4 linked regions of the Arabidopsis thaliana genome follow. The protein of the gene in region 2 binds, or shares a complex with, the protein of the main gene of each other region. Each region holds a gene or a part of one and is shown on either strand. Other genes may lie near its edges.

The links.
Region 1: AT3G58580 (region 2) and AT3G18500 share a complex: the UniProt entries of both Arabidopsis thaliana proteins name them as parts of the CCR4-NOT complex.
Region 3: AT3G58580 (region 2) and AT1G06450 share a complex: the UniProt entries of both Arabidopsis thaliana proteins name them as parts of the CCR4-NOT complex.
Region 4: AT3G58580 (region 2) and AT1G27890 share a complex: the UniProt entries of both Arabidopsis thaliana proteins name them as parts of the CCR4-NOT complex.

The regions. Positions count from the first base shown.
Region 1 is NC_003074.8:6,349,290-6,357,740, reverse strand, and holds AT3G18500 (DNAse I-like superfamily protein), read right to left. Parts: upstream 5,270-8,451; 5' UTR 5,198-5,269; coding exon 4,885-5,197; intron 4,711-4,884; coding exon 4,541-4,710; intron 4,471-4,540; coding exon 4,405-4,470; intron 4,240-4,404; coding exon 4,187-4,239; intron 4,094-4,186; coding exon 4,012-4,093; intron 3,925-4,011; coding exon 3,835-3,924; intron 3,539-3,834; coding exon 3,446-3,538; intron 3,363-3,445; coding exon 3,330-3,362; intron 3,243-3,329; coding exon 3,136-3,242; intron 3,045-3,135; coding exon 2,933-3,044; intron 2,856-2,932; coding exon 2,770-2,855; intron 2,674-2,769; coding exon 2,589-2,673; intron 2,504-2,588; coding exon 2,444-2,503; 3' UTR 2,295-2,443; downstream 1-2,294. Other genes in the region: AT3G18510 (ATP-dependent helicase/nuclease subunit), read right to left, coding at 1,757-1,852, 1,923-2,030; ASPG1 (Eukaryotic aspartyl protease family protein), read left to right, coding at 7,149-8,451. UniProt on the Arabidopsis thaliana protein: Acts as a catalytic component of the CCR4-NOT core complex, which in the nucleus seems to be a general transcription factor, and in the cytoplasm the major mRNA deadenylase involved in mRNA turnover.
Region 2 is NC_003074.8:21,658,705-21,667,892, reverse strand, and holds AT3G58580 (DNAse I-like superfamily protein), read left to right. Parts: upstream 1-3,797; 5' UTR 3,798-4,195; coding exon 4,196-4,353; intron 4,354-4,547; coding exon 4,548-5,295; intron 5,296-5,387; coding exon 5,388-5,474; intron 5,475-5,555; coding exon 5,556-5,639; intron 5,640-5,715; coding exon 5,716-5,802; intron 5,803-5,899; coding exon 5,900-5,986; intron 5,987-6,095; coding exon 6,096-6,149; intron 6,150-6,244; coding exon 6,245-6,336; intron 6,337-6,431; coding exon 6,432-6,546; intron 6,547-6,632; coding exon 6,633-6,783; intron 6,784-6,878; coding exon 6,879-7,027; 3' UTR 7,028-7,295; downstream 7,296-9,188. Other genes in the region: AT3G58590 (Pentatricopeptide repeat (PPR) superfamily protein), read right to left, coding at 1-1,631; AT3G58570 (P-loop containing nucleoside triphosphate hydrolases superfamily protein), read right to left, coding at 7,541-8,155, 8,250-8,363, 8,523-8,690. UniProt on the Arabidopsis thaliana protein: Acts as a catalytic component of the CCR4-NOT core complex, which in the nucleus seems to be a general transcription factor, and in the cytoplasm the major mRNA deadenylase involved in mRNA turnover.
Region 3 is NC_003070.9:1,962,105-1,969,136, reverse strand, and holds AT1G06450 (Polynucleotidyl transferase, ribonuclease H-like superfamily protein), read right to left. Parts: upstream 3,298-7,032; 5' UTR 3,214-3,297; coding exon 2,131-3,213; 3' UTR 1,918-2,130; downstream 1-1,917. Other genes in the region: ACD32.1 (alpha-crystallin domain 32.1), read left to right, coding at 231-353, 509-625, 716-911, 1,159-1,273, 1,370-1,534, 1,793-1,829; AT1G06440 (Ubiquitin carboxyl-terminal hydrolase family protein), read left to right, coding at 4,232-5,404; FTSH8 (FTSH protease 8), read left to right, coding at 6,612-7,032. UniProt on the Arabidopsis thaliana protein: Ubiquitous transcription factor required for a diverse set of processes. It is a component of the CCR4 complex involved in the control of gene expression.
Region 4 is NC_003070.9:9,711,241-9,718,226, reverse strand, and holds AT1G27890 (Polynucleotidyl transferase, ribonuclease H-like superfamily protein), read left to right. Parts: upstream 1-3,050; 5' UTR 3,051-3,182; coding exon 3,183-4,091; downstream 4,092-6,986. Other genes in the region: AT1G27900 (RNA helicase family protein), read left to right, coding at 1-6, 317-531, 707-799, 883-1,006, 1,120-1,270, 1,620-1,689, 1,888-2,048, 2,181-2,356 and 1 more; AT1G27880 (DEAD/DEAH box RNA helicase family protein), read right to left, coding at 4,326-4,422, 4,511-4,626, 4,719-4,743, 4,897-5,066, 5,152-5,280, 5,728-5,830, 5,928-5,983, 6,103-6,201 and 4 more. UniProt on the Arabidopsis thaliana protein: Ubiquitous transcription factor required for a diverse set of processes. It is a component of the CCR4 complex involved in the control of gene expression.

The sequences.
Region 1 (8,451 bases), about 15 Mb from region 2:
TTGGATATTTTTTTTTGTTTTTTCCTTGCCACCTTACTGGCTTTAGTATAACAAACACATTAACCTCGCATTTTCCTAATCTTACGTGTAACATGAGCTCAGAGAAGGGTAATTGCATAACATATCATTTTTAAATACTAAGTAATAGCATAACATTTGTCATGATATTACAAATTATATAATTTTTTGTAATGTTTGGGTAATTATATAGCAACGGAAAGGGATGCTTATGAAAAGGAAGGATAGAGACTTCCTTCCTACATAGATGTAGGAGCAGCAAAGATCAAATGTGACCTCTTTATGGGTGAGATCAGTGCCATGGTACATGTTAGAGAGACCCATCTGAAAGACCCGAGAGGAAGTCCAAGTCGCGGCCACAAATAGGTACATGATGAGTAAGTCCAGGGCCAATCTTGCATGATAAAATATAACAACTTACGTAATATTTATATATAGCACATGTTATTTTTCTCTATGTTTTTAGCTTTCAAAATGTCGTATTTTCTGATACATGCTAGCTAGAGTTTTTTTTTTTTTTTCAAAAATTCTATTTTGCAAACTAACCTTAATAAACGTAGCACAAATTCATTTTAGGACAGATATTTCATACCAGGCTGGATATACAAATCCATAAGATATATAAAACACTTCTATAGGAGAATTCAAAAGACTATTTTTCCTAATCTGCCTAATCGAAGGCAGCTCAACCGAACATATATGAGAATTCTATTAATAGGTTAATATGTTTTTCTATTTTTGTTCAGTAGGACATCTTTTATATTTTGTAATTCGAACTATATGGGTCGGAAGTTGTGGAACCTTTTTATGTGTTCACTGGTTCATCAGCCCTACCAGTTTGCATCTAATTATTAAACTAAAAAATGAGACTTAAAATACATAGATGATTCAATTCTTGAGAGAAAAATGAATTTTGCCATGATAACGTAATTAAACTGAAACAGTTATGTAATACTTACTAGTATTGTTCTGCAATTATGGTTTGGTCCCAAAAAAATAACAACATAACTCTCCTGTCTCTTTCATGTTAATATTTAATGTTCTGTTTTGGACATGTCCTCTTTGTGTGGAATTTACCATGAAAAATCAGGAATTGGGTTGACCCTACGAAATGAAGACTCTTTCATTGAGCACAAACACCAAAATCTAGACATTTTTTTGTTTGTTGTTTTGGCGTTTCTTTAAGTTGAACTGGTGAAAAGAAAATAATTACGAAACCTTTTAGAATTAAAAAGAAGACAGAACCCGACTAAACACTTTTAAAAGTCCAAAAGAGCTGGATCGGTTCCATATGCTTTTTGCCCAGTTAATTCTTTTTCTATCTGACATCTCTCAAAAATTTAGCTTAGTAAAACCATTATACCATTCCAAAATCAAAGTTATGTAGCTAATACATCAAATCCTCATCACATTCTAACAGACAACGACAACAACAACAACAACAGAAACATAACTGATTAAGGATTTGGATGGAACAGCAATTTTGATGTAATAAGGATTTAGTTGTTTCTTTAAGAAACATTTGAATAGATGAAAGATACATATAATGCTCAATATGGCTGCTTCTCTGGTCCACCATCATGGTATATAGTTATTAAACCAAAGACAAATGAAACATTTTCATAATGCCAGACCAAACCAAACCGAAAAATACATGAGAGAAAAAAAGTCAAAACAGCATCAAACATCTGTTGGGCATTTCATCGAACACTTTGAAGGCATGCTACCAAGAAATAAGCTAAACAGATTCTTCATTGATCTGAATAAGATTTTCTTCTTCTTGTCTCTTCTGCATATCCTTCTCGTATTGATTCAACGCTTCCTCCATCCTCATCTGCGTAAAACCCAACAGTCTAAGGTCGAGCACAAGCTTTCTCATAGGAAGACAGAGAGAAGAAACAGACCTTGTAGCTAACTTCGATGCGATGCATTACGTAGAATCCGAGGGCCCCGCCGAGAAGTGTTCCAGCTATGATCCGTGCGTAACCCCATGTCATTGAGCTCAACGCCATTAATTTCCTCACTTTCTCTTGTCTCTTCTTCCTTCGATTCCAACTTTACAGCTCTCAATCTCTTTAGAATTCCTTTTCATTTTACCGGAACCAAGATTAGAACCGTACCAATTGGTTCAATTCTTTCTTTTTGGTACATTTAAACCAAGCTTATGTCCGCTTCGGTTTAGATCCAGAATCAAGTAAACTGGTTCTCTCACTTTAAATTACGTTCGAAGAAGTCGATTTAATATCCTAGTGACCCAATACGCACACAAGATTGAAGCTTCTGATCGTCTCAATTTTTATTTATTTATCGAGAAGTCGGTTTGATATAGAACCATGATCAGGTAATTTCGGTACGCTTATACATTTAATAAAAACACATTTATAACGGTTCGGTTCAAAGAAAACTAAGCTGGCACTAGATGCCTTTAACCGTCCGGTTCAAAGACAAATTCAGAAACAAGAGCCAAGTGATCGCTTCCCAATTCCTGCAAACCAAAGACGAATAAGGCTTTAAGCATCAATCATAGAAATGACCTCACCAAATCTAAACTGTTTGATAGAAAGACATACTTGACAAGGAAGGCCTTTGGTTTTGCATAGAACATCAATAGGAAGTGTGTCAAGAACTCTTGCAGGTAAAAGACCATCAGAGTACCTTAACCAGACCACACATGTATTTCTAATTAGTTACTTCATCAGCCAAATATTAAATTTGTCCATTTGAGTTTTGGTTGTGTTTAGAATGTTTTACCAGAGATAATCAACCGTTCCGAGAAATTTCGAGTGATATGAGGTTGCTAGAGGTTCACCAACAGAGTCCCTGGTATTTGCTGAGCCCTGTTGTGTACCATGTTCATGAGCAAATTTAAGGTCTTGTCATATATAGACAGGGACATTAAAGCTTTGTTTGTTACCTTAACTGAGGCGTATGAGCTATTGAGTTTCAGAGGATGCGCAGCCCAGTACGAGTTCTCTTGCCCGGTTGCGACACGGATCTCTTCTTTTGTCCAAGAGCTACAAAAACTTCTACTAGTGTGTGAACACAATGGCTATTCCAGCAGGCAGTCACAAGACAACCATTCACAGAACTGATTAAATCTTCAAAAAACAATCTTACCTGAAAGTTATTGTATTACTGGATTTGCTACCAGTTTCAAGAACTTTGGTAGGACGACAATTTTTCTGGCCGGACAGCTCTTTTTTGTCATGTTCCATGACATTCAGCTGTAAGATAGAAGCATAATCCTATTTAAAGAAACTACAAGAGGACACAGTGTAGTTTGACTGAAGCAAAACTATGAATAGTCATACCTCAGAGGACGCCAAGAAGTTGTACAATGGACTCTACACGTAATAAGATAAACTCAAACAATGAATAAACAAATACACAAACCAAAGTGGAAGAGTTTATTTGAAAAGATACGTACCTTGGGAGTGCTATTGAAATCTCCGCATAGAACAATGGGAATGTCACCCCATTTCTTAGAGAGCAAGTGAGCCTTTGAGCAGAGTGAACGGACCTATCAGTCAAGAACAAGGCAAATCAGGAACTCAAGAAAAAACATAAGCCACGAATTCAATACGTTTTCATGAGCATTAGGACATATACTAATGAACATGTCATGACATATACTAGTAACTTAGACTTGTCTTAGATATTTAAACTAATGCTAGTAAACATCTCTTGACTGAGATTCAGTACAATTTCCTGAAGTCTTAAAGCCAAAGGTGAAAGGGCCAGATCAACATTTTGTAAACTTTCATGACAGTCAATTGCTCGTGTAGCGGATATACAAATTGAAATGTCGAGGCTTACCTGACCCAGCTTCACATCTCCTTGATTTGGATTATAAAGCACGTGAATGTTACCCAGCAGTATCTTTCTTGACTTATTAGACTTCCGGAGCTGACGGGAAACCCAAAAAAAAACTGGATCAGTCAAAGCATATACATGAAAAAAGAAGTTCGTAAAACATTCAAAAAAAATTTCTACCTCAAGAACAGCAAGCTGTGCAACATTATCCCGCATACCAAACTGGCTAAACTCAATGTTTTCCCTCTCCAAAACTCCAAACCTTTTGAAAACAAGATAAATCTTAAACAATGCTGAGTTGTAGTAGTCGTTTTTCTTCACACTAATACAGATTGAGTCAAACAATATGTGCTACCTGTCAGCCTTCCAAAACATTGCGCAACCATCGACGTTATCTCCAGTTCGCCGCTGCCATTGCAAAGCTTATATTTGTAGTCCTTCTATATAAACACAACTTTTGTTGAGGCTTCAGACGAAAAGGTAAATAAAACCAACCGACAAACCATGTCTTACATTTTACCCCATTAATCTTATAAGCATAAAATTTTTCATTGAACAAGGAAATACATCAACCTTATAGGAGCCAGCATATCCAGCTTTCTCCATCATACTGAATAGATCAAAATATTTATCTACTTCCTACAAAGGTCCACAAACAAAATCAACTTAACTATCTTAACACGATATAAAACAAGGTAAAGTTCATTACCTGCATAGAGATTATGTCTGGATTGAGACGAATGAGTTCTTCGCATATCAACCTTTTGCGGTAGCCCCACTTGAGGTAAGGAACAGACACATTGGAGTACAACTCTCTGTGATATGATGAATTTCCATCTCCCAATATGTTGTACGACACTACAGTGAATCTCTCTAAAGCTAATATTACATAGAGACACACTAGTAAGATCCAAAGGCATCCACAATTTCACAAGCTTCATGGACAAACAGTAACTCAAGCTATTACTAATATCTCTAATTTACTAAATCCTAACTAGTTCACAAATTCATAAGTAAGAGCAGAGTTTTTCCATAAGATCATTATTAAACTACCTTGAGAAACTGGAGTTGTATCTGAATCGATCCAATCACGAGCAATCTGAGAAGACGGTATTTGATCGGGATGTTGACGCCGGGGAAGAGGATTCTGCCATCTACGGCTGTAAGAGCGATTTGAAGATGATTCGGGATTTGAATCGGACGGTCCAGATGTGGAGGAGGAGCAACACACGAAAGAGGAACGGAAAGATAGAGACGATAAAGGACATTGATGGAATCCAGATGAAAGGTGACCACCGGAGGGTAAGATACGGTAAGCTTCGCTTGGCCGTGACCAAGAACAATCAACGCGATTCACACAACGCATTCGATTTTGTGGATGTTAGAGACGAAATTCAGAAATTTGGATGAAATCGAAAACCACACAAACCTCTTGGCGCCATACGGATAAATATCTTTTTTTTTTTCTTCCTTTGGTCAGAGAAAAAAAAATACCAAACCATGGGCCATGGGCCAATACTAGTATACTACACCAGGCCTTGTTTAGCTGAGATCCTGTTTTTTGTTATTCGGATTTTTTGTTTTAATGTCTATTGTTTTTTTTTGTGAGTTTGATTTCAATTTATGTCATTTTGTTTCTAATTTTAGTAGGATGTCAGTTTTTATTTTAGTCTAGTTTTATCATGTTAAGAACTTGGAGATGATATTTGATTTTGAGTTATGAGATTTTGTTTTTTCTTTCATCGTCCTTGTAATTTTTTTTTGTTTTTTCATATACTATGATATTATTTCTACTTTTATTGGAGTATCAATTATTTGATTTCAAATTTAGTGATAGTAGCTCAAAAAAAAAAAACCTTACACAAAAAAGTATATGTCTTTTTGTGTAAGGCGATTACTGATTACACACACAAAAAAAAAAATGTCTTCGTTTCTACCTTTTTTTTTGTTGCAATATTGCCTTTGACAAAGAAAAACTCTATGATTGCGTCTACATTATAATGTTCTTTAAACTTTACTATAAAATATCACTAACTAATCTTGAAATACAAATTAGTGAAGGCATATTGTTAAATATAAAAGTGTATGCGATTTAAAACATTACTGATTGAATTGCATAATCTCATTTTATGGAAAAAAAGTAAAGTAGGTATAAGAAAATGGATATAACAAGATTAAAAACAAAAGAGAAATAAATGACACGCAACAACCAAAGCCAAAAGGGTGCGTTACCATTAATTCAGGGAAAGCGAAATAAACCCAAATCTCTCTTCTAACGAAGTAACAACTCACCCACTTCTCACATTGATTCACTCCTTTCCAGTTTTTACATATAGCCTTCGTTCATCAATCACCTTAAGCAAATTGCAATCACAAAAAAAAAAAAGTACAGTACTTAGCAAAATTTTAAGTTTTTGTTATTTCCACGGCAACTTAGCAAATATGCACCACATATTGACATTAGCTAATATACAACACATGTTTTTTTAGAAATGTACAAGCATTAACAAATATCCAACACAAAATGACATGATCGTAGATGATTAAGATAATTCGATCCCTATAACTAATAGTTTCCAAAACTTCTGCTGACTTTTCTCTCGACAGCGATGGTAAGAAGAAGGTACAAAGTTTTGAAGCCCGAATATAACAAAAGGACAGAAAGCTTTTAGTTTTCTAGATAAGATCTTAGCTTTGGTCACGTAAAAAAAATTAAAAGTGAATTGGTTAACAATATAGGAGTACTTTGTATCCAAAGGTCATTGCAATAAATAAACACTTAAGTACTCTGTAGTCACACATCTCTAGGAGCTTAATATTGGATAATCGCTTGTAGACTTGTATTAAAATATTTAGTAGGTCAAATCCCTATCTTCTACAGTTTCTACTCTCGTCCGTACAGACTACAGACACTATGCTATAGTTTTGTGTTGAATTCTACAAAGTACAAATTCTTCTTTCGGTGCCAATAACAAATAAACACAATTCTCAAATTACATTTGTCTAAATTTTTATTTGATTCGGTATAAATGTAACGCTATGTTGGGAATCATATGATAAATCCAGATTAAGACTTCTTATTTAATTTATTTTTGTATATATAAAATATAATATCCAACCATAAAGTTTTTTTACCGATCGATGATAATGTGAATCCAAATATTTTAACAGGATGATAAATAATTGATGTGGCTTTTATAACCGCAGCAATTCTGGCGTGACTCTCTCCGCAGCATTTATTTTTCTCTCTATAAATTAAAAACATTACTTACTCTTTCTCTCTTCCACTTAACTCATATCAACCTTCGCCGGAAATAATGGCTTTCCCGCGATTTCTTTCTCTCCTCGCCGTCGTCACTCTCTCTCTTTTCCTCACCACCACTGATGCTTCCTCTCGCTCTCTATCCACTCCACCTAAAACGAACGTACTCGACGTCGTTTCATCTCTCCAGCAAACACAAACTATCCTCTCACTCGACCCGACTCGTTCCTCACTCACCACCACCAAACCCGAATCCCTATCCGACCCGGTTTTCTTCAATTCATCTTCACCACTATCTCTAGAGCTTCACTCTCGAGACACTTTCGTCGCGTCACAGCACAAAGACTACAAAAGCTTAACACTCAGTCGACTCGAGCGCGACTCATCCCGAGTCGCCGGAATCGTCGCGAAGATCCGTTTCGCCGTCGAAGGAGTCGATAGATCCGATCTCAAACCCGTTTACAACGAAGATACACGATACCAAACCGAGGATCTAACGACACCTGTCGTCTCCGGAGCCTCTCAAGGAAGCGGCGAGTATTTCTCAAGAATCGGTGTCGGAACTCCGGCGAAAGAGATGTACTTGGTTCTCGACACCGGAAGCGACGTAAATTGGATCCAGTGTGAACCTTGCGCCGACTGTTACCAACAGTCCGACCCGGTTTTTAACCCGACTTCGTCTTCCACATACAAATCTCTCACTTGCTCTGCTCCACAGTGCTCTCTTCTCGAAACCTCCGCTTGTCGGTCAAACAAATGTCTCTACCAAGTTAGTTACGGAGACGGATCTTTCACCGTCGGTGAACTCGCTACCGATACGGTGACGTTTGGTAACTCTGGTAAAATAAACAACGTCGCTTTGGGTTGTGGTCACGACAACGAAGGTCTCTTTACCGGAGCAGCCGGTTTACTCGGTTTAGGCGGTGGTGTTTTATCGATAACCAATCAAATGAAAGCGACGTCGTTTTCTTACTGCCTCGTTGACCGTGACTCGGGAAAGTCCTCAAGTCTTGATTTCAACTCGGTCCAACTCGGTGGCGGAGACGCGACGGCGCCGCTTCTACGTAACAAAAAGATCGACACTTTCTACTACGTCGGACTCAGTGGATTCAGCGTCGGTGGTGAAAAAGTCGTGCTGCCTGATGCGATCTTCGATGTCGATGCTTCGGGAAGCGGAGGAGTGATCTTGGATTGTGGAACCGCCGTGACTCGTCTTCAGACGCAGGCTTATAACTCGCTGCGTGACGCGTTTCTTAAACTCACCGTGAATCTCAAAAAAGGATCTTCGAGCATCTCTCTGTTCGACACGTGTTACGATTTCTCGTCTCTCTCCACTGTGAAAGTACCGACGGTTGCGT
Region 2 (9,188 bases):
TCAGGGCGGATGTTTGATTGAAGCATGTGTTTGAAAAGTTCGATAACCTCTTCATGGTAATCAGAACGAGAGCAGGCCGCAATTGCAATGTTCCAAGATACAGTGTCGGGTTGTTCTAGTGTCGAAATCAGCTTCACAGATTCATGGTACTGGCCTCTTCTGCTATAGATTCCGGCAACAATGTTCAATGGGACGACCGAAGTTGGCCCGCTAGCCCAATCCAGCAGAAGAAGAGCATCATTCATCAGTTGATTTTTGGCGTAGGATCTCATAAGAGAGCTTAAGACATAGTCATTATCTTCATATCCCATTCTCACAATAACAGAGTGCAGCTGCTGTAACTCTGTGACACAACAAGATTTGAGGGCCGTCGAAAAAGTATATTCAGTTGGCCTGAAACCCATTTGAAGCATTTGCAGAAACAAAGAGAGACAAATCGGACCATCCTTATTGGCATAACCCGAAAGCAGCGCATTCCAACAAACAATGTTCTTATCACGTATATAATCGAAGCATAGGCGGGAATCTTCCAGATTACCACATTTAGCATAAAAGTCAATCAACGCATTCCCCAAAACTATGCCAGTTTCGCAGCCATTCTTAATTAGCATGCCATGAATTTGGCGTCCGCAACTCAGTAACTGCACAAGAGAAGAGACACCAAGAACACTAACGTATGTACCTTGGTTCGGGGAAAACCCATGCTCTGGCATACTCACAAAGAGTTTGAGTGCTTTTAACGGGTTCTCACTTTTGGCTGTTGCACAAATTATGGCGTTCCATGACACTATATCCCAGGAACCTGCATCCTGAAACATTCTCTCTGCCATATGCGTATTGCCACATTTTCCATATGCGCTGATGAGAGAGTTAACGACGGATATTTCACAATCTAACCCTTTTTTCGTTGCTGAGCAATGCAACTGTTTGCTAATATCCAAGTCCTTTACACAAGATACACCCTTCAATACACCCAGGAAAGAGCTTTCAGTTAAAGAAGCGCCCATCCTAACAAGCTCACGGAAGAAAAACATGCATTCTTTGAGAAAACCACGATGCCCCAACAAAGACATCATATGGTTCCATGTTTCCAAGCTCTTAAACGGCATATCTTCAAAAACCTGTTCCGCCATTTCCAGCAAGTCAAGCCTCCCATACAAACACAACAAACAAGTACCAACAAATGCATCAGCCATAAACAAGCCATACTTCAAGCTCAAACCGTGCAACTGAGTTCCAGCACGAACATCCAACGATGCACAGGACAATAAACCACTCACTGTTGACTGGTTCGGCAAATATCCAAAATACCTCATCTCAGAGAACACACCCCAAGCTTTATCAACATCCCCGTATTTGCTGTACCCTTTAATGATCGTGTTGAAAGACACTTTATTTCTCTCAGGCATTTGATCAAACACTTTGCCTGCAAGTGATACCTCGCCAAGCTTCTCATAAAGACTGATAATGTTATTGCAGACATAAACTGGCTGCAAAAGAACAGAGCATAAAGTGATGGAGAGAGCGTGAAGAGCTTTGGTCCTTGCAAAGGAAGGAGCTTTTCTGCAGACATTGAGTAAGCTAACTACACGATCGTTGTGATTGGCGAGATCTCCACAGCTGAGGCTCATGCAGAAGGATACTGAAAACAGAGTACTTCCCAGATCGATCTCAGTTATAATTAAGAACTAAGTTTCGTGCATCATGAAGAAAGTTCTAATAAAGGTCTGAAATTTTAAAAGTTCGGATTTTTATAAACATCAAGAACAAAGTTTGAAGTTCAGAACCAGGGAACTAAATAATTGATCTAGACCGCACCGGCTGGTTCAACCACAGTATCACGGTTTTATCTGTCCAATTGACCAATCTGGCCCATATTATTTTACAAATAAGATCTTTCAAATTGGCCCATATTTAACAAAAGAAAATCGAATTAATATTATGGTTTTCTAAATGAACCAAAATCAACTCAACTTTTTTTTTTTGAATAATTTTATTTTTATTCCATAATTTAATTTGTTTATCATTTCCAATGAAATTTTATCATTAATAAAAAAGGTTGCTCTCCTCATCCCTTCCATCTTTCCTTTCACATTTTTTAGATTATACCTCATGTTTGAATAATATTGGTTTACATATCTAATTCATATTGAAAAACCCTCCAAATCTCTAGAGAAAAAGGACGATAAGAGTACTTAACTCACAAAGGGCAAATACCCAACTTTTGAATCTCCTTACATATTTTATGACAAACTATGAAGGTGTCCTCCAAATACTCTTTAATCATCTTTTGATTATCATCTATAATGATTGTTTCTTCAGACCTCATACCCATATCTTCGAGCGGTTTTAGTATCTTTACTGTCTCGTTAAATAGATTCTCATTTACCATTTCTAAGCATTTCTTCTCTTCTATCGTTAGATCAACTTTCAATTTTTGTATGTCTTTGACGGCTTCCAACAAAACTAACAACAACAAAAAGAAAAATCAAATCAAAAGATTTCACTATAAAGAACAAAAAATAAACAAATTGTTAGTTACCATCATAGAACAAATAATATTCAGCTGCCACAACCCTTTTGAAAAGTTGAATACGTTCTGTGCTTTTGCTCATCTCAACAATTTTGATTAAAAAAAAAAATATCTAATGCATTCTTTGTTACAAGGTCGAGATGTTATTTTGTAGCGTATATAGTGTTTGAGGCTTCTTTGTTTGGAAAAGATCGCTTTCGAAAAATAATAATTATTATTATTTTCCATGTTATGCTTCATATAAAATGTGGACTCAGGCCTCCGAAATAACAAATAGAAAAAATTGTGTTGAATGCTTAAAAACGAGAAAGAAATCTCTCAACTTTGATTTACTGGACACGCATTGTATTTGTTTTCTATAATTAGTTCAAAATAATAATTTGTAAATAGTTATCTAAATTCGGTAAAATACAAACCGATAACTTTTCATATCAAATACAACAAAAGTTAGATATAAATCTTAAATTTCTATACTTTAAAATTGAGTAAACCTGAAAAGAATGAAATTTAGTCTACCTAAATTTATTAAAAACCAACAAAATTTTCATAATTCGAACCTTAATTATTTCAGGTTTGAACCGCTTATATTTATGAAAACCAAATGAACTAGCTAAAACGAAAACAAAAGCGAAAATGAACATGACAATTTTGACAATGTTAAAATGTGATTCTTTCATTAATTTGACAAATTCAACAATTCTTAAGAAGATCAATTGAATTGATAAACTATGCTGCTCTTCTTGGGTAATTCTCACATTTTAAAAAAAAAACAAAAAAGAAGAAGAAGTTAATTCTACCTTAATCTGCAACAAATCGTCTTCAAGATAATTATATCACGAATTGATATTTCTTGTCTCTTAATCTTAACGAAGAAACTACACCTCCTGGCTCCTACTGAATGTGCGTTGAACACTCACCTATTGACTCATCTTCACCATTCCTTCTTTCTTCAATCTATCATAGATATAAATACACTTCTTTTAAGTCACCAATCTTGTTTTCGTAATGGTACGAGTCATAAATCTTGATTTGTCTTTGGTAAGTCATGTTTAGTTGTGGATTATTTGTTTTTACGCATTTTCTAGATTTTAAAATTTTATCTTTATATAAACAAAAATAAAACGAAAAACTTTCAATCTTTGAGCGCCAAAACCAAAATTTTCATCGAAAAGGAAGATCAATTAAAATATTATAAAATTTCATAATAATGTCTTCAAAGCACAAAATAATAGTTTTAGTATTAAACCCACTCGGGGAAAAAAAACACATAAAAAAACCAAAATCGATTTCATTGATTTTTTCCATATTCACAGCGAAAGAATCGATCCTTAATACAAAATTCCTTCAAGATCTCACATCTCTTATAAGCTTTCTCGATACCATCATTTTCCTTTCTTTTTTTCTTTTCTTCGATTCTAATTTGGTTCTGCCGGATCTTCAACCTTGTCTGAAGAAGACATTTTCTAGGGTTTCTAGAGATTGGTCGGGTTTTCGGTTCAAGTAAATGGTGGATCAGCCTATCGTACGCTCCACTTCATTAGGTTATCAACGACAATATTCATCATCTAATAATCATCATCAAGGTCTTGCTTCGATTCTGAATCTCTGCTGCTGCTGCTTCGATAGTGTTCTTCGACAATCACCAGGTGTTATTGAAAAGCAATGCTGAGCGTGATCCGAGTGCATCTTCCTTCTGAAATTCCCATTGTGGGCTGTGAATTGACTCCTTACGTCCTTGTTCGTCGTCCCGATAAGAACTCCACCACTGATGACGTCCCTGAATCTGCTCCTCTTGAAGGCTACTTCTTGAGATACAGATGGTTAGATTTCTGATTGGCTCTTTGTCTAATTGCTTTCTTGGATCATTTGGCGAATTGGGGTTTATCAAAGATTGAATTTTGATCTGAATTCAGAGATTTCTCATGTAGATGTTCTGATTTAGGTCGTCAAATGGTTTTTGTGTGTAAAGTTCTGATCTTGTTGTAGATTCATTTTTTGGATTTATTTGTTGTAGGTATCGTGTACAGAGTGATAAGAAAGTAACGATTTGCAGTGTGCATCCAACGGAACAAGCTACTTTACAGTGTGTTTTCTGTTCTAAGCGTAGATCCCTTGTTCCAAAAAGCTATCACTGTTCGCCAAAATGCTTCACGGATGCGTGGCAGCATCACAGGACTTTGCACGAGCGAGCAGCTGCGGAAAACAACGCAAACGAGGATGATGACTTGAACAGGAATAACAGTGCGGGTTCTGGGTCTCTCGCTGGTTCCTTATCTGGGTCTATGTCAAATCTTAGTATTGCCAACAATGGTCCAGCTCCGTTTTATCCTTCTAATATTACTCAGAAAAATGGAGGAGAGACTTTAGTTGAGGTTGGGGGTTGCAAAACGTACACTCCAACAGCTGATGATATTAGCCACGTTTTGAAGTTCGAGTGTGTTGTGGCTAATGCTGAGACTAAACAGATTGTCGGACATCCTAGTACCATTTTGACTTCACGGGTTATTCCTGCTCCTTCTCCAAGCCCCCGTAAGCTAATCCCTGTTAACGGAGCTGATGGGATGGGTCACTTAGATCAAGATGCTCGGATTCAGTCTGCAGGATCATTCACTGTTCTTTCATATAACATTTTGTCTGATACTTCTGCAAGTAGCGACCTCTACAGTTACTGTCCTCCTTGGGCTCTTTCATGGCCATACCGAAGACAGAATTTGTTAAGGGAGATTGTTGGATATAGAGCCGATGTAGTTTGCCTGCAAGAAGTATGTTATTCGTATGGACTTGGTAATGATTTAAAGCATTTTAATTCTGAAAAATCTACTTCTAATGTGTTCTTTTTTTTGTTATCTGGCAGGTACAAAGTGATCATTTCCATGAAATTTTTGCTCCTGAGTTGGATAAGCATGGGTATCAAGCTCTTTACAAGAGGAAGACTAATGAGGTTTGGTCAATGATTCCACACACTCCTTCCTTCAGTGATTTATGTTTTAAAATCTATTAACCACAAATTTCTTGTTGCTAGGTTCTCAGCGGAAGTACAAGTGCCATTGACGGCTGTGCAACATTTTTCCGGCGGGATAGGTTTTCGCATGTCAAGAAATATGATGTTTGTATTCAGTTCTATATGTTTACTTGCTAGATCCAGTAAGATCTCTATACTAATTCATGGACTGTAAATCCAGGTTGAATTCAACAAGGCTGCTCAGTCTTTGACTGACGCTCTAATCCCTCAGGCTCAGAAGAGAACTGCTTTAAACCGACTGGTTAAGGTATTTTTGACATGGTATACAATATTTTTCTGGGCCACAGCTGATTATCAGAGAGTTATTGTTTACAAAACTGAAACCAATGATTCTTATGTTGTAGGATAACATTGCGTTGATAGTTGTTCTTGAAGCCAAATTTGGTAATCAACCTACTGATCCTTCTGGGAAGCGCCAGCTTATTTGTGTGGTACTGGTTCTTTTTTTTTTTCCATTCTCATGAGAACTGTTAGTTTCTGTATATGCTCTTTTAGTGAAAGCCAATGAATTTTCTTATTTTGTTGTGGCAACTTGTTTAGGCAAACACACATGTAAATGTTCAACAAGATCTGAAGGATGTGAAGCTCTGGCAGGTTGGTGTATCTCTATATCCGAAATAAATCAAATTTCATTGAACTCGAAAGAATTAGTATTCACCTCATGTTTTCTTTTATTCTTTTGCGTTTAGGTTCATACCTTATTAAAGGGACTAGAGAAAATAGCAGCTAGTGCCGATATTCCTATGCTTGTGTGTGGAGACTTCAATACGCTTCCTGGGAGGTTTGTTGATTCATAAATTCTTTTGACATGATACATGAAATGCAGAATTCTCTTATGAGTAGCTAAAGTTTTTCTTTTTGGCATTTTTATGACAGTGCACCTCATACACTTCTTGTAATGGGAAAGGTTGATCCAATGCACCCAGATCTGGCAGTCGATCCCCTTAATATCCTGCGTCCTCACACCAAATTGACTCATCAATTGCCTCTGGTAACATTGCTTTTTTCGATTTAAGTAAATTTATACCGCTTATCTTTGCGTCTCTCTTGGATATTTGATAAATGAATTGGTTTCAGGTGAGCGCGTACTCATCGTTTGTGAGAAAGGGAATAATGGGTCTTGGATTGGAACAACACAGAAGGAGAATAGATCTTAATACAAACGAGCCTTTGTTTACCAATTGTACAAGGGACTTCATCGGCACTCATGACTACATATTCTACACAGGTTTCACCATTTTTAACTCCATTGTCCTTGTTTTCAACTACATCAGAAATAACAAGTTAACTTAATTGGAAGATTTTTTTGTGTTTGGGTTTCAGCGGATACATTAATGGTGGAATCTCTATTGGAATTACTGGATGAAGATGGATTAAGAAAAGACACAGCTCTTCCTTCCCCAGAATGGTCTTCTAATCACATTGCTCTCTTAGCTGAATTTCGATGCACGCCTAGGACAAGACGCGGTTAACCGCCTTCACCACCCACCATCATTTGCTTACAGATAGGTTTTTTTTTTTTGTTCCGATCTTCTTCTTTGATCAGACTATGACATCAACTGTTTAGACGAAACCTTTACCAAATCTGTGATAGAGATGACACAAAGATTCAAAGGGATTCTGAGTAAGGCAAACCACTCTATGAAGTTGGTCATTCTTTATTATGACCCCTGTGTGGCTCTGTCTAAACCTCCTTTTATATCTCATTTTGATCCTCAATATAGTGAAAACCCTTTGACTTTTCTTTTCCTTGGATCAATTTTAATGTTTGAACTGCTTTGTATGACTAAATAGCTCATGAGAATAATATGGGTCTACTAGGGGGTTTTCTTTTTTCACATTGAACAAAGAGACGATTCGTGTCTACTACATAACCATTTAAAGAGCAAACATACACATCTGTGGCTGCTCCCTAATAATAAACAATAGAGATAAGTGAGAGAGAAAGAGAACATAATCGGTTCTTGAAGAATTGAAGTTAAAGCTTAGTCCCACGCACTAGCCACTCCAGGACCATACCCTTGGTTAGGAACGGTTCCATATCCTCCAGGACCATAGTAAGCACCACCACCTCTACCATAAGGTGCATAACCACCACCCGGAACATTTCCATATCCACCACCTGGTACGGGTCCGTACCCACCAGGCATTGCTCCATAGCCACCACCAGGAACGCCTCCATATCCACCACCTCCACCATAGTAGTCAGCACCACCACCGCCTCGACTAAAAGATTCTCTCCTGAAGTCACGACCACCAAACCGTCCACCAGACCGCCGGTTCTTACCACCTCCAAATGAAGCACGAGATGCGTATCGAGTCAGCCAGTCAGGGACCTCCTGGTTAGCTTCTTGCATTAGCTCAGCCAGTGGCTTGGCCATTGTTGTGTTGTTGTCATTGAAGAAAGCAGTTGCTAGTCCTGAATTTCCTGCACGTCCTGTTCGTCCGATACGGTGGACATAGTCATCAATGTCGTTTGGTAGATCAAAGTTCACTACATGAGCCACGTGCGGAATGTCAAGACCACGTGCTGCCACATCGGTTGCAACCAAAATAGGTGTCCGCCCAGTCTTGAATGATCTCAGTGCCACTTCTCTTTCCTTGTATGCATAAAAAATACAATAAGGTTTTAGCTTTGGTTGCACTGAAGAATACTCTACAATATCCTAATTTTGATATCAACAACTCACTAACCTGTTGTGACCTATCACCATGAATGGTCGTTGCTGGGAAACCATTGATGCACAACCAATTCTCCAAAGAGTCAGCTCCCTTCTTTGTCTCCACAAAAACTAGAGTCAAAGCTTGCTGTAGAATAAAATAAATTGGATTGTAAAGGTGCTCTTGAACAACAATGCATCAAATAGAACAAAGAGACAATGAAACAGAATCGTGAAACCGAAAGGAGCAATAGTACTGACTATGTTCACTTTTAACCATGAAACCAATCATATTGATTTAAATTACCTTTCCTTGGTTACCATTCTCCCTCTGGGCATGAAGAAGGTCCATTAGATGGCTTCTTTTGTCAGAATCATGAACAAACTCTACTCTTTGGACAATTAAATCCGTACTTGAACCCACTCTTCCAACAGCCAGAAATATGTAATTTGAAAGAAAATCAGATGCAAGTCTCTGCACACAAAAACAAAATCATAATTAAGTGCATATGGAATGTAAAAGATTCCTTTGCTGCACAGTACGCAACTTCTATCTTGTAATTTTAAGAGCCAAAATTTTGGTAGTGTCAACTTAAACAATAAACATTATTTAGACAACGAATTGAACCCTCCAGTAATAAAGGAAAACAAGATTATGTACCGATCATCCTTCTCATTTCCCAGACCTACCAAATCTCACTCTTTTCTTCAGTTATAGAACAATCACGGACCTACAACAAGCAGCTACCCTTAGTTCCCTCTTACTCCCAAGTATATTAAATTTCATTGAAATGAATCGCTATCTTGTTCTTTCATATCACTAACATAAGAACCGCTATATTCTTCCTCACTCCATGCAAATATCAGATCATTTACACAAGTTAAGGATAAGTGCTCGGTCAGATTTATCCAAGTTGATTTAAAAGATAATAATTCTCAGAACAATTGTACTGGAGACCCAAAAGACCCAAAT
Region 3 (7,032 bases), on a different chromosome or scaffold from region 2:
CAAAATTGGAGCAGATCGACCAAGTACAAGAACAGTTAGTCTGATTCATTTTGGCTTAAACCTTGATTTCGTTTAAGGGTGTTGCAATGGAAAGCTCAAACTGTTCAATTATTGAAAGTCATATCATGCTTATGGATGTGTTTTTTTATACTTGACTCTGCCTCAAATAGGTTGGTTCACTGATTCCTTTATTTTGGTCTAATGGATCTCTTATTTGTGTTATGCCTCAGAACTGCAGCAGCAGTTTGAACACTGTCATCCAAAGGTGTGACAACAAAATCTCTTTTGCCCGGCAAGCATCATCTGAACAGGGCTTTTTTATGAGGCCAGCTTCACCCGATGATGTCCTTGAGGTACCATAAGTTTTTTATTATGTTTTGAAGTCCCTCCTCCTTCTTCTCTGGTCACTTACTGTCTAACTACACTTAGTTAACAAAGTCATATCTGTACTGTAATGTAAATATGCCCACACCATTAACCTCTTCTGTCACTTGTGATGATGATTCAGAACTTAGGTATGAATTTGAAGAACACTGTCGTTAGAAGGGGTGACAACAGGCTGTATTTTGCTCGGCAAGCATCTTCTGCACAAGGTTTTTTTATGAGACAGGCTTCGACTAATGAGGTACCATTAATTTCTTATTATTATTTTTCAAAGTTTCTCTTCTCATCTATACTTCTGTAAAAGAGAATTGATTCAAAATGTTTTTTGCAGAGGACCATACCACATGATGCTGCTGCATCTACCAAGTTTTCTGCTACCAAAACAACTGGCTTCGATTCTTCTTCACCTGCGTACGCTGCACCACACTTTTCTAAGCCTGCAAAAGAGGACATCTTTTTTCCTTCTTTATCACCAAATCTGCAAAAGGAAAGGCCTAAGCTTGATCTTCCTAAGTTAGCCAATTTAGGTACGAATACAAATATAGGTGTATTCCACTCCAATAACACTACTTTTCTAGTCCTATTATAACCTGATACTTTTCTTAGAGAACTTAATGATTTCTGTAGTTTACAAACACACAAATATTACTAGGTATAACTACTAAAGGTGGTTTCTCACCAGCCTTGATCTACAGAAACTAGCATCCGTACTTCAAACAAATCCGTACAAATGAACATGAGAACTTACTTAAAGAAGTTTTTTTCCTTTTGCAGGTACTGTTTGGTCTCCCAGATCGAATGTTGCTGAATCGACACACAGCTATGTTGTGGCAATAGAGCTACCAGGAGCCAGTATCAATGATATAAGAGTGGAGGTTGACAACACAAAGTAATCCTGCTGATACACATCTTTTTTCAATCTGTTCCCATTACTCACACAGTAAAAATGCATTGTGTAACAAAGGTACTTACCGTTCTGCTGCAGCTTGACTGTGACAGGTAGACGCACATCTATCTGTCAAAAAGTTGATGCAGGCACCAAAGCTTCGATCCTTGGATATCATAAGCAAGAAATACTACAAGGACCATTCAAAGTTTCCTGGCCACTCCCCAGCAATGTGAACAAGGATAATGTTTCCGCTGAATTTATGTAAGTAGAAGCTATACTTACTAACAATCTAACCGTATGATCAAACAACTATTCTCCTTAAATCTTTCAATCCTAGAGTTCATATGATAGATTCTGCCTGTAGGTTTTAGCTAGTAGTGCACACCTAAAAAGTAGTCGTTTTAGAATCCAATTTTACATCTTAGTGCCAGTCAGTCATTAGCTTGAATTAGTTTAGATAGAATTTAGCAAGTTTTATAAAGAGCACTAACATCCAATTTATTATTGCGTTTGAAACAGGGATGGGATTCTGAGAATAGTAATTCCAAAGCTTTGAGGGTTCATCGTTCTGAAACCATATATAGATACGGTAAACATTGTGTGTGATATAGCAGTTTGTGTGGAAAAGAAAAATATCAAATCATGAAGAAAGTTTGGTCTTTTATGTAAAATAGTTTGGTCTTTTATATATCACAGATTGTAGACAGGCATTACTCAAAGTGAAGCCATGTAAACAATCCATAAATATATAAAAATAAAATCTTCATTACTACTACCAAAAGCCAGAAAAGAAAAAGAAAAAAAAAAGAAAAAAGCTCAGAAGCATCTAATCATCCTAAAGCTGGGGAAATCTCAATCTACTCAACTACGTAGCAAGCATTATTGTTGTAATAATTAGGAACTGGTCCAAGATAATCAACAGTAGCAGATGGCGTCTGAGACGGGTATGCAAAAGTGCTTGCAGGTAGATGAGTAAGCTGCACATACGTACCGGTAGCATTACAGAACGCCCATGGGGCACCTGAAGGATCGTAGGAGACAAGCTGAGGCTGCTCATAGTTCTGGACATATCCATTGTGGAACACAGGATATGAAGCTACATTCTGCTGGCACATCAAAGGAAGAGTCGGCTCTGGCACAGGCGCAGGGGCAGGGGCGGCAACGAGGTTGCTTTTCCCAATTCCATAGATCAATCCTCTAGCAAATCTGGAATCTTCATAGACATGTTTAAGCTTGATGAAGACAAGTGCAGTCATTAAGCTGTCTGAACCAGCGTGATGTGCTCTTCCCACACGAGTGATCTGAAGTAGCTGGGCTAGTTTGCTTAACCCGAGGTGTTCACCTAGTCCTTCACAGAATCCAGCCATGACCTTGGTGTCGTAAACTTGACCGAACACTTTGACAACCTCTGTTGCAAACTCGCCGTGAGTCTCTGGTAGCTTGCCATGATTGAGGATACTCAAGAAGTAAGCGAAATCGTAAGCTCCTTGGAAAGTGACGAACTCAACGTGTTTCTGAGAACGAAACACAGTCATAAGCTTAGGGAAAAACCCGTAGCCGAACATATCAACTCCTTCGTCTCTAATCTTCTGCAAATCCAAACCATGCCTCCTCAAGAATTCGATGGAAAGCTCGTTGCGTGTGTCTGATGGGTCGCCGAAATTGGAGAAGTTAATCTCCCAAACACCACCGATCTCTCCCTTGGCGTTGAAAAGAGTGAAACCACACTGGATCAGCTTGGTGTTCTCGACATTACCTTTCATGGCTCTGTAACATTCGTCGCTAGAGGAATCGAAATAAGTGCGGAAAATAATGCCAGGGTACTCTGTATCGAAAGCGATGAGTGGGAATCGCTTGAGACATTCGGCCATACGAGCCATCTCTTCATCGACGTTGCTTCTCCATACTCTCCTCGCCAGCGGTTGATGAATCTCGTTCATGATGATGATTTCTGCAGATAATAAAAATTAGGGTTCTTTTCTTAGGAGGGAGAGGCATGAATACGAGAAGTCTTTTTGGTTTGATTGATTGTGTGAGAGCATTAGGGTTCTTTATAAAAAAAAAGAGAGTATTTATCCTTTTCTTAAATAAATTCGTGTACCTGAGTTTCCTTTTTTCTCGGATTTTTTCTAATTAATTAAAGATACATAGCTTAAGCTAATAGCTTGCTCTCCAATTAATTTTAACGCGGTGTTGATCATGACGGTTTATATTCTCTCTGATTATAATTTTATTTGTTAATTTAATTTCTGTTAAATTTAATTTAGAAATTATCTTCTTCTTTTTTAATTTTCGTTAGGAGTTAGGAAATTCTTGTAGTTATCTTTTACTTTTTGCTACTATATGGTGCTTTTACTCTCTTTTTAACCAATCCACAATTTCCTTTTTCCGTCCCAAAAAGTAAATTACATATAATTAATAGATAATGGCAAAACTTCCAATACAAGTATTAGATTAATATGTAAAATGAGTATCAATTAGTGTTTAAACTTTTGATTTTAAACACTAAGAACTTGAATGGTTATTGTTATTAGATGCTTTGACACTAATTATAGAAATCGCATCATACCATTTTAATTCTTTGTAAGTCAAAAACTTATCCATAACATTAAAATATTTTGTTTTATAAAACTTTATATTTGACAGCATTTATCCTCTCATACCAAAAGTTTATGATATCAAACTAGTATAATTATTTACTAGGCTAAACTATTATTGTATGTGTTTTATTAGTTTAAATAAATTTTATAGCGGTAATTGATTCGCTTATAGATGTGTTTTGGTCTTGGACATGAAAATACAAAGGTCCATATAATTCTTCTACTTCATTTTTTAATTTCGTTTTTTCCCTTAATGCCTGTTAGGTGTTCGATATAATTCCGCAGAGAGTGTGGGTATATACAGCGACGTTGTGGAACGCGGAAACTCAAAATAGCTCCATATACTCTTTGAGATACTATGAGGTTCCTCCTCATGAGATCACTTCTGGTTCACCCATGTGGTGGCTCCATCATCAATGTCCGATCAACGACTACGTCTGCTCAATATGTAGCTTCCAGATCAAGAGACCCTGTTTTCGAGAAGCTCATGGACAAATACAAGAACCTTCTCAAGGTCATTGCCATACAAGACCTTACCCTCGCCAATCCAACAGCTGATCCTCCCTCTCTATCCATTGAGTTTCTCTCCAGGCTCTCCCAGAAGCTCCACCTTAATCGTGGCGCTGCTTCTTTCCTGCGAAAGTATCCTCACATCTTTCATGTCTTGTATGATCCTGTGAAAGCTGAGCCCTTTTGCAGGTTAACTGATGTAGCCATGGAGATTTCTCGCCAAGAGGCTTTGGCTATCACTGCTACTTTGTCTCTTGTTGTTGACCGGTTGGTTAGGCTCTTGTCTATGTCCATATCAAAGTCCATTCCGCTTCGTGCGGTTTTTAAGGTTTGGAGAGAACTTGGGCTCCCAGATGATTTTGAGGACTCTGTGATCTCAAAGAACCCTCATCTTTTTAAGCTTAGTGATGGTCATGAATCCAACACCCATATCTTAGAGCTGGTTCAGGAAGAAGAGAAAAGACTGGAATTTGAGGCCGCGGTTGAGAAATGGAGGGTGGTTGAGTGTTCTAAGGAGGATTGCAGTGTCGATAGAACCGAGATTCAGTTTAGTTTCAAACATAGTTACCCACCAGGAATGAGACTGAGCAAGACATTTAAGGCTAAAGTTAAGGAATGGCAGAGGCTGCCTTACGTAGGGCCATACGAGGACATGGTTGGTAAGAAGAAGAGTAGATCCGGTGTGATGGGAATAGAGAAAAGAGCGGTTGCGATTGCTCACGAGTTCCTGAATCTGACTGTAGAGAAGATGGTGGAGGTAGAAAAGATCAGCCATTTCAGAAAATGTTTTGGGATTGATTTGAACATAAGAGATTTGTTCTTGGATCACCCGGGCATGTTTTATGTGTCAACTAAAGGGAAAAGACACACTGTCTTTCTCAGAGAGGCTTATGAAAGAGGACGTTTGATTGATCCAAATCCTGTTTACGATGCGAGGAGGAAGCTTCTTGACCTTGTTCTCTTGGGACGCCATGCTGCTTTATCAGAATCTGGGAACACTAGTATGTCTGAACAAGAATGACATTACGATTTTTCAGGCCCTATTGAGTCTGAGCTATGCAATCTTCCATATGGAAGTGTATGAGACACTTGAGAGATTAGGTCCACCAAGAATCAGGCAATGTTTCTATGGCGTTTGTCCGAATTTCGGACTAATTGGCTTGCTCACAAGCAAAAGCTCGAGATAATCTGAAAGCAGGAAAAGCGAGTTACTTGATGTAGCGTAAGTGAGTACTTGGATCAATACTTGTCTACGAAACCAATGTAGGAGTAAACGGTCTTTGTTGTGTACTTTTTTGGTTATGTATTGTCGACAGAAAGGTTAGAAACTAGTATCCAAACTCAATACGTCTTCTTTCTTTAGATTTTGCTTGGTTGCTAATTGCTTCATGTGGCTTTCCTTATTCTACTAAAACTCTCATCTTTGTTCTTGTTCTATTTTTTACTTTTACATCCTAATTTTTTTGAAATATTATTTTTTGGAATAAAATTTGAATTCTTTTTCTTAACCTTTATCACTACCAGGGTTTAAATTATAAGTTTAATTATATAATGTAAAAATTGTGAACGTTATTTATGTATTGAATTTTTGATGGATGGTTTTTGTGGAAAAAATGGTTATAGAAAAAATTGTGACAAGAAATGAGTGAAATAAAAACCGAGAGCCCATGAAAGGAAGCCACGTAAGCTGTTCGGAGCCACATCTCTTGTCTTCAAAAGTACCAAACTTCATTTGCTTCTCCAAACAAACAATCTCTTTCTCTTCTTCTGCCAAATTCCACAGGTGCGTTTCACTCTTAGCTCATCTGTGTAATCTCAAGCATTTTCTGCTTTGTTTGGTCTGAATTTCTGAAATCTTTTGATGATAAAAATTTCTATGAAATCTCGGTCTGCTTGTTGCATGATTCTTACTACCTGGGTTTTGTTCAGCAAGTCTATTTGTCTTTATCTGTTTTCTTCTTAATTTGACTTTAGGAATGTCTAATAATGGTGGATTCATGTGTTGAAATATAGACTAATGTTATATCCAGTGGCAATTTCTACAAATTTTTTTATCTTGGAGCATGAAAATGTTCCAATCTTTCTTCATATGCGTCGCTAATGATCGCTTATGTTGATTATAGTCTTACCAGAAACTTGCATGTTGTTAAAGGTCTCGTTTTGTTTGGTTGTTCTTTGTTCAGATTGTTTTTTTTTGTTCACGCCATGGCTTGTAATCGTCTGTGCAGATGGCTGCTTCATCGGCTTGTCTTCTCGGAAATGGATTATCTGTCTACACAACCAAACAGAGGTTCCAAAAGCTTGGGCTTGATAGGACATCTAAAGTTACAGTTGTGAAGGCTTCTTTGGATGAGAAGAAACATGAAGGGAGAAGAGGTTTCTTTAAACTCTTACTAGGAAACGCTGCTGCTGGAGTTGGTTTGCTTGCAAGTGGAAACGCTAATGCAGACGAACAAGGACAAGGGGTTTCTTCGTCTAGAATGTCTTATTCTAGGTTCCTAGAGTATTTAGACAAGGGAAGGGTTGAGAAAGTAGATTTGTATGAGAATGGGACTATAGCTATTGTGGAGGCCGTTTCTCCTGAGTTGGGTAACCGGATTCAGCGTGTACGTGTGCAGCTACCTGGATTGAGTCAGGAGCTTCTCCAGA
Region 4 (6,986 bases), on a different chromosome or scaffold from region 2:
TAGCAAGTAAGCAAATGAATCTTGGTTCAATACCTTCATTCATTCCATTAGATTGTTTGCTAAATATGAACCTTGTAATAATCTATTGGTGCATATAATGAACTTGTAGTTGATGTGTGATGATTTATAGCCGTAACTAGTAAAGATATCCGCAGTTGGCTCAAAAAGGAATTATATTGGTTCAATAGGACCTCATCAGATTCAGATATTACATTTTTTAATCAGGAATCCCAGTGGTTTCTTACTCAGGTTTTCATCAAGCTCCTATTTGCTAACTGTACTTTGAATATTTTTCTGTTTCACTTTGTTTTTCCAGAGTGCAAGCTAACCAACGTGCTGGACGTGCTGGCCGAACAAGACCGGGGAAATGTTATCGTTTATACCCATTGGCAGTCTACCGAGATGACTTCCTTGATGCAACTATTCCTGAAATCCAACGAACTTCTCTTGCCGGGAGTGTTCTATACTTGAAATCATTGGATCTTCCTGATATTGACATTCTCAAGTTCGATTTTCTTGATGCTCCTTCATGTAAGAACTTATTTCTATCCGGAGTTTAATGTCTCTTATAAAGCTTTCTACAAAATCAATGGACTGATGGTTTGTCATGCACAAACTGCTGTTTTTCTTTTTTTTGCTTGTGATACTTTTGAATTTTCCAGTGATATAATATATCTCTGGTTTTTGTCCTGCATATAATATTCAGCTGAGTCATTAGAAGATGCGTTGAAGCAATTGTATTTCATTGATGCAATTGATGAGAATGGAGCAATAACAAGGATTGGACGGACAATGTCTGGTATGTTTAGCGCAGTTTTCTTCTGTTTGATTTTTTCTAGTTTGAGCTGCTATCTCATACTGACCATATTTGTGGTTCAACAGATCTTCCACTAGAACCATCATTGTCAAGAACATTGATAGAAGCGAATGAAACCGGTTGCTTATCTCAAGCTCTAACAGTTGTTGCTATGCTGTCAGCAGAGACAACTCTTCTTCCTGCTAGGAGGTTAGTTTTTACGATATACAATAACCTGGGTCAGATTGTGAAATGTTTAAAATCACATTGACTAGATACAGATGCGTCAACTCTTGTCTTTATGGTTTTTGCTTGCATGATAGTAAACCCAGTGAAAAGAAGAGGAAACATGATGAAGATTCTAATCTTCCTAATGGATCCGGATATGGTGATCACATTCAACTGCTACAGATTTTCGAATCTTGGGACCGTACTAATTATGATCCTGTATGGTGCAAAGAGAACGGCATGCAGGTAATTGTTCCATTTTCTTCCTTCCTTCCTTATCTATTCTCGAGTATTCCAAGTGAAAAGCATGGTGACATCAAAAGCCTTACTGCATTGTTACTTCAGAAGGTGGTCAGTTATATGCTGTCTCTGCAGTTAATACAATCTATATAGCATAGAAAATCCCTTCATTGTTGAGACCTGACTCCGATGGGCGTCAATGTTTGTATTTTCTGCTTCATACAGTTTTATAACCAACAATTATGGGAGTTACTGAAATTTACTACCTTTGTTTAGATAGTCTATTTCGGTACATTATTACGTGGGTTCCTTATGCCAATAAGAAAGATAACTTTTGTTGAAAAATAATTTGCAGGTGCGAGGGATGGTGTTTGTCAAAGATGTTAGAAGACAGTTATGTCAGATTATGCAGAAAATATCCAAAGGTTAGATTGTTTCATGACAAGAAGATTCCGTGAAAGAATATATAATTATTTCTCTATGGCTTTCACCCTAAATGGTTATGCCTCCAACAGAACCAGAGTTTATGTCAACATCACTCTTTTATCTTGTGAGATGTGATAGGTGGCTGTGTCATACCTAACCAACCGTCACTAAAATATTTGGTCTCCTTGACAAACTAGATCGATTGGAAGTTGGGGCAGATGGTAGGAAGAGTTCAAGCCGAGACGACTACAGGAAGTTGAGGAAAGCTCTATGCGTTGGTAATGCAAACCAAATTGCTGAGAGAATGCTTCGTCACAATGGATACCGGACTCTTAGTTTCCAGTCCCAGCTAGTCCAGGCATTACTTCTCAATCCAAGTCTCATTTATCTGTTACAGTGTTAGATTTTCTATTACATCAGTAGCTCAGATATGTAAGCATTTCCAGTTTCGTATGATCATCGACATATTGACGTTTTTGGTTGATTCTAGGTGCATCCATCATCTGTATTGAGTGCCGACAATGACGGAATGATGCCTAACTACGTAGTGTACCATGAGCTGATTTCCACCACACGTCCGTTCATGCGGAATGTTTGTGCAGTAGATATGGCATGGGTGGCTCCCATCAAAAGAAAGATCGAGAAATTAAATGTCAGAAAATTGAGGTAAAAACAAACATTACTCTTTACTAGTTCAATCCAGTCTTGTTCTAGCTTTTTCTTGTCTGGTCTTGGATTCAGTAATTGATCGGTATCATTTAATCTGCCATGTAGCGGTGGACCGGCTCCCTCTTTCAAAGTACCTGAGGAGAAGACGGAGTTGTCTAAAAACAATGCAGAAACACCTGCAGTTTCTGAAAATGTTGAGAGTCGGATTGAAGCAGCCAGAGAACGCTTTCTTGCTCGTAAAGGACAGAAATAAATTTGATGTCTCAAACATAAATACAAGATTCAACTAGCCCTATAAAGAATAGAAAAGAGAAGCTTTCTGTAGAAGATTTGTTATTAGAGACAATTTTCAAATTTTGTATGTTCTGTTTTTTTTTTTTTTGGCTCAACTTAAACTTTTCTTTATTCTCATTCGACATGAGTTTTAAATTTTTAACCCAATTTGGTATGTTCTTAGTATTATGTTTAAAAGATGATAATGTTTACACGAAAAAAGAAAAGAAAAAGGTTTTGGTATTAGTCAGACTTCGGTTTAGTGATTTAATTCGGTTTAGTATTAAAATTGTAAACCGCTTCGGAAACAGGCTTCTCTTATTTTGGGCTTTTGAGAGGAAAATGGAAATCTCGTGTCCAACAAGAATTAAATTAGGAGTGATAAAAGTCAACACGAACTTTTTGACTGGAAAAAAATGGAAACTTTCCGGCGACGTAAGAAAAAAGGAAACTCCCACTGCTATTAGTATTCGAGTCTCCGAAATCAGATAGAGAGAGAGATTAGTATTTCAGATAAACAAACTGTTTCAGTCTTCAAAATCCGAGAGAGATGGGTGAAGTTTGGAGATGGAACAAGGAAGTAGAGATGGATTCGATAAGAGATTGTTTGAAACATTTTAGTTCCATCGCTATCGACACAGAGTTTCCCGGATGCTTAAAGGAGACTCCGATGGACGCGAGTGAGGAAATTCGTTACAGAGACATGAAGTTCAATGTGGACAACACCCATCTCATCCAGTTAGGTTTCACGCTATTCGACAGAAGAGGAATCACTAAAACCTGGGAAATAAACTTGTCAGATTTCAACGAACATAAGTGCTTCAAAAACGATAAGTCCATAGCTTTTCTCAAAAGCAATGGTCTCAATCTGGACAAGATCGGAGAGGAAGGTATTGGAATCGAAGAATTCTTTAGAGACTTTTCTCAGATTCTCAAGGAGAAGGACGGAAAGATAACTTGGGTGAATTTTCAAGGCTCTTACGACAATGCTTATCTCGTTAAAGGCTTAACGGGAGGGAAACCGTTACCGGAGACTAAGGAAGAGTTTCACGAGACCGTCGAGCAGCTTTTGGGAAAGTTTGTTTTTGACGTAAAGAAAATCGCTGAATCATGCAGCGGACTAAGTAGCCGATTCGGACTACAGAGAATAGCTGATGTGTTGCAGATGAAACGTGTTGGAAAAGCTCATCACGCTGGCTCAGACAGTGAATTGACGGCTCGTGTCTTCACTAAGTTGACTTTCGATTTGCTCAATAGTAGAAAGCAGTGTGTAAGACGAGTTGATCATCAGCAATATCAACTAGAGCAGCAGCAGCTTATGATGACTAGATGTTACATCCCAATACCGATACCTATACCGAGACCGAGATCGGTGATGTTTGCTGCTCATCACCCGAACCCGTATTTTGGTGGTGGTTACTTTGGGATGCCGGTCCAAGGAAGGAACTACGTTTTGTGATGCCTGAATGTTTGTTTAACATGACTTGCTCTGCTATTATGTATAATTTCTAGTTTTATCAGATGTTTCTTTAAATACTAAAGATTAACTTTCATCTTTTCTTGTCGATCAAAACAATTCTCTCAACTCTCATATGACACAATTTCTCTTTACTGGATACTTTCAATGAATCTAGAATACAATACAAATAAATTTAAATATCCTAAGAATCTACTCAAAGCCTCTAATCTTATGTTATGTAGCTAAAGCTGCGTTCCTGTCAACAAAATTGAACAACTCTGTTTGTGCCGCTTCCATTATCACTCGGAAGTCTACGTTCATATACCTTCCCCTGCAAAGCCATATTTCAATTAAATCACATGTACCATCACCAAACAATAACTTGCATGGCTTGGTTTAGCTGATGATGATGAATATACCAGAAATGAGTCTTGGACCAGACTGAATTCGGAAAAGCTGGACTTCCAACTCCGTGCATTATTCTCGCGATGGCTCTTGGTGTGAATTTGGCTTGGCGATTACTCTGCAAAAACACCTGTTTTGACACACAATAGTTAACTGGACATTCTTTGGATACATGGCAAAACAATAAAGTATGAACAACAGTGTGGCTTCTTGGATCTTCACCTTTATGTCTGCTCGTAGAAAGGCGCTGCATCCACAATACAAGCGTTGATCAATTTAATGGAAAGATGACTTTGACAAACAAATAATATGTAACAACCGCAGTTTTATATTTCCTTATTCGCTATGCAATAATCGAAATTTGGAATCTATGAAAACAAGTAAAATATTTTGTTAGTACCAATTTTGAGTAGCCTTGCTCGGACTGTCACACTTTTCATCACCATTGAAGTAATCAAAGATTCTGCTTTGCAGGCTCCGAGTTTGCTTGGCACCAGAACTCAGTTCTGAAGTGTTAGAGACACTAATCGCAGCCACAGCTGCACTAGACATAATATCCAGTTTTCTCACCTATATCAGAAGCAAAAATTATTGCTACATATAAGCACAAGCGTTGGAACTTAAATTATGCAGTAGATCAAATTGAAGAACTTACTTTGCAACTTTCAATCTCTGTGAGCCACTTGGTTAGATGACTGGACAATGAACATATTTCCTTTGGAGATTTTAAGATTGTGTAACAAAAGGCGGAGTCCTTCAATTCGTATGTTACTTCCCCCTTCATCTACAAGTACTCAACATCGTTAATTAGAAATCAGGAAGATAATTAGGATTCAAGTGGAACACACACGAAATAGTTCTTAACAGAACACAAGCAATTAAACAAATAGATGACATATGATCCACCCTTAGATACATTTCCCTCAGTACAGTTGTATTTTCTCAGTAAACCCTACATCAATAGTCCATAGAAAAAATTGAACCAAACTTTATCACAAAACGATACTAATTAAGTATATCTTCTTATATTGTACTATAGTTATATTCCTAAGGGTAATTTATGTGTCTATCAGTTCTTTGCTGTGGACTTAAGTTTCTTCGTCACTTTTAATCCGTGCAAATTCAATCATGGCTCGCTTATTTAGATAAATATGCTTATTAAGATGAAATGAAAATTGAGATATCTGGTACTAAGCCACAGATTCATATTGGAGAGAGAAGTGTTATTAACCTTCAGAGCTTGAATCTCAGCCAAGACATCTGTTGTTGCAACACATATGCTAGAGGCCACAGCTGGTATATCAAAGACATGTAACCCTTGCTTCACGTGAGACCTAAAAACAACAGAAAATTCTTGAGCATTGCTGCAACTTTAATACTTCTACAGAATCGCTTGACCAGAAAAGCTGGAGAAAATGAATATACACTTACTTCTTCAAAATTGCTGCAACTATGGCACTTCGTGCAGCAAGAGTGTTTGGAGAAGACTGCACATATAGCATAACAATGTTCTGAGCATCAGAGGTCTCAAGCATACACCATTAAAAAATAATGGGCCTTTTCACTAAACAGGAAATTATTCAGCTACAGCTTCCCTAATCCCTACCTTGTGGAAATTCAAAGTGCAACATATGTTGAGTTGTGGAAGCATACGTAGGTATTGCACTTCCCCCAGCTCCAAATGTGTCAAAATCGTTTGCATAACCTGCCAGATCCACAGAGAAAATTTAGAATATTGTCTATAACAACGTTTTTTCCCGCCCACTATCTCACAAGATCAGACACTTGATCATATAAATGTTAGAACAACGGGTTTCAAGATTTGGCATTAAGTTTTTTTAAATACCTCTTCCTTCATGTCAAATTTTTGAGAGGCAGATTCAATGACTAGCGAGCATATCTTCTCGTGTTGCTTTGTCTCAGTGGAAAATACATGGGTGAGAAATTTTCCAACTGCATATTCATCGACACCATCACTGAACAAGAAGGGGGAAAACAAAGGTAAGCTTAAAATCCTCTTAATTCAATGCCATGACAGTTGATAGTTCCCACACGAATCACCTGTGTGCAAGACTCCGAAGCTTTAGATATGTGTCATTATCATAAAAGAGATGACAATATGACAACCGCCCGTCGCGACCAGCACGTCCAATTTCCTGTAACAAAGACATTTAGTTTCTCGAGAATGTTATATGTACGCTGATCACTAGGCTTAAGAAGGAAAACCCAAAAAAAATTTAACCTGAACGTATTCTTCCATACTGCCTGGCACGCTGAAGTGTATTACCTAAAGCAGACTCAGAAAACTTAGAAGCATGTATATACATGAGATGCGAATAGTTGAAGTTATGTTCAAGCATTCTAAGTATTGGCATTAGACTTACAGCTCCTACATCTCCCTTGTCAAGTCCCATGCCGAATGCTACAGTTGCAACAACCTTCCAAAACATATATAAAATATTTGAATACTGAAATCTGCTTAACTTTTTC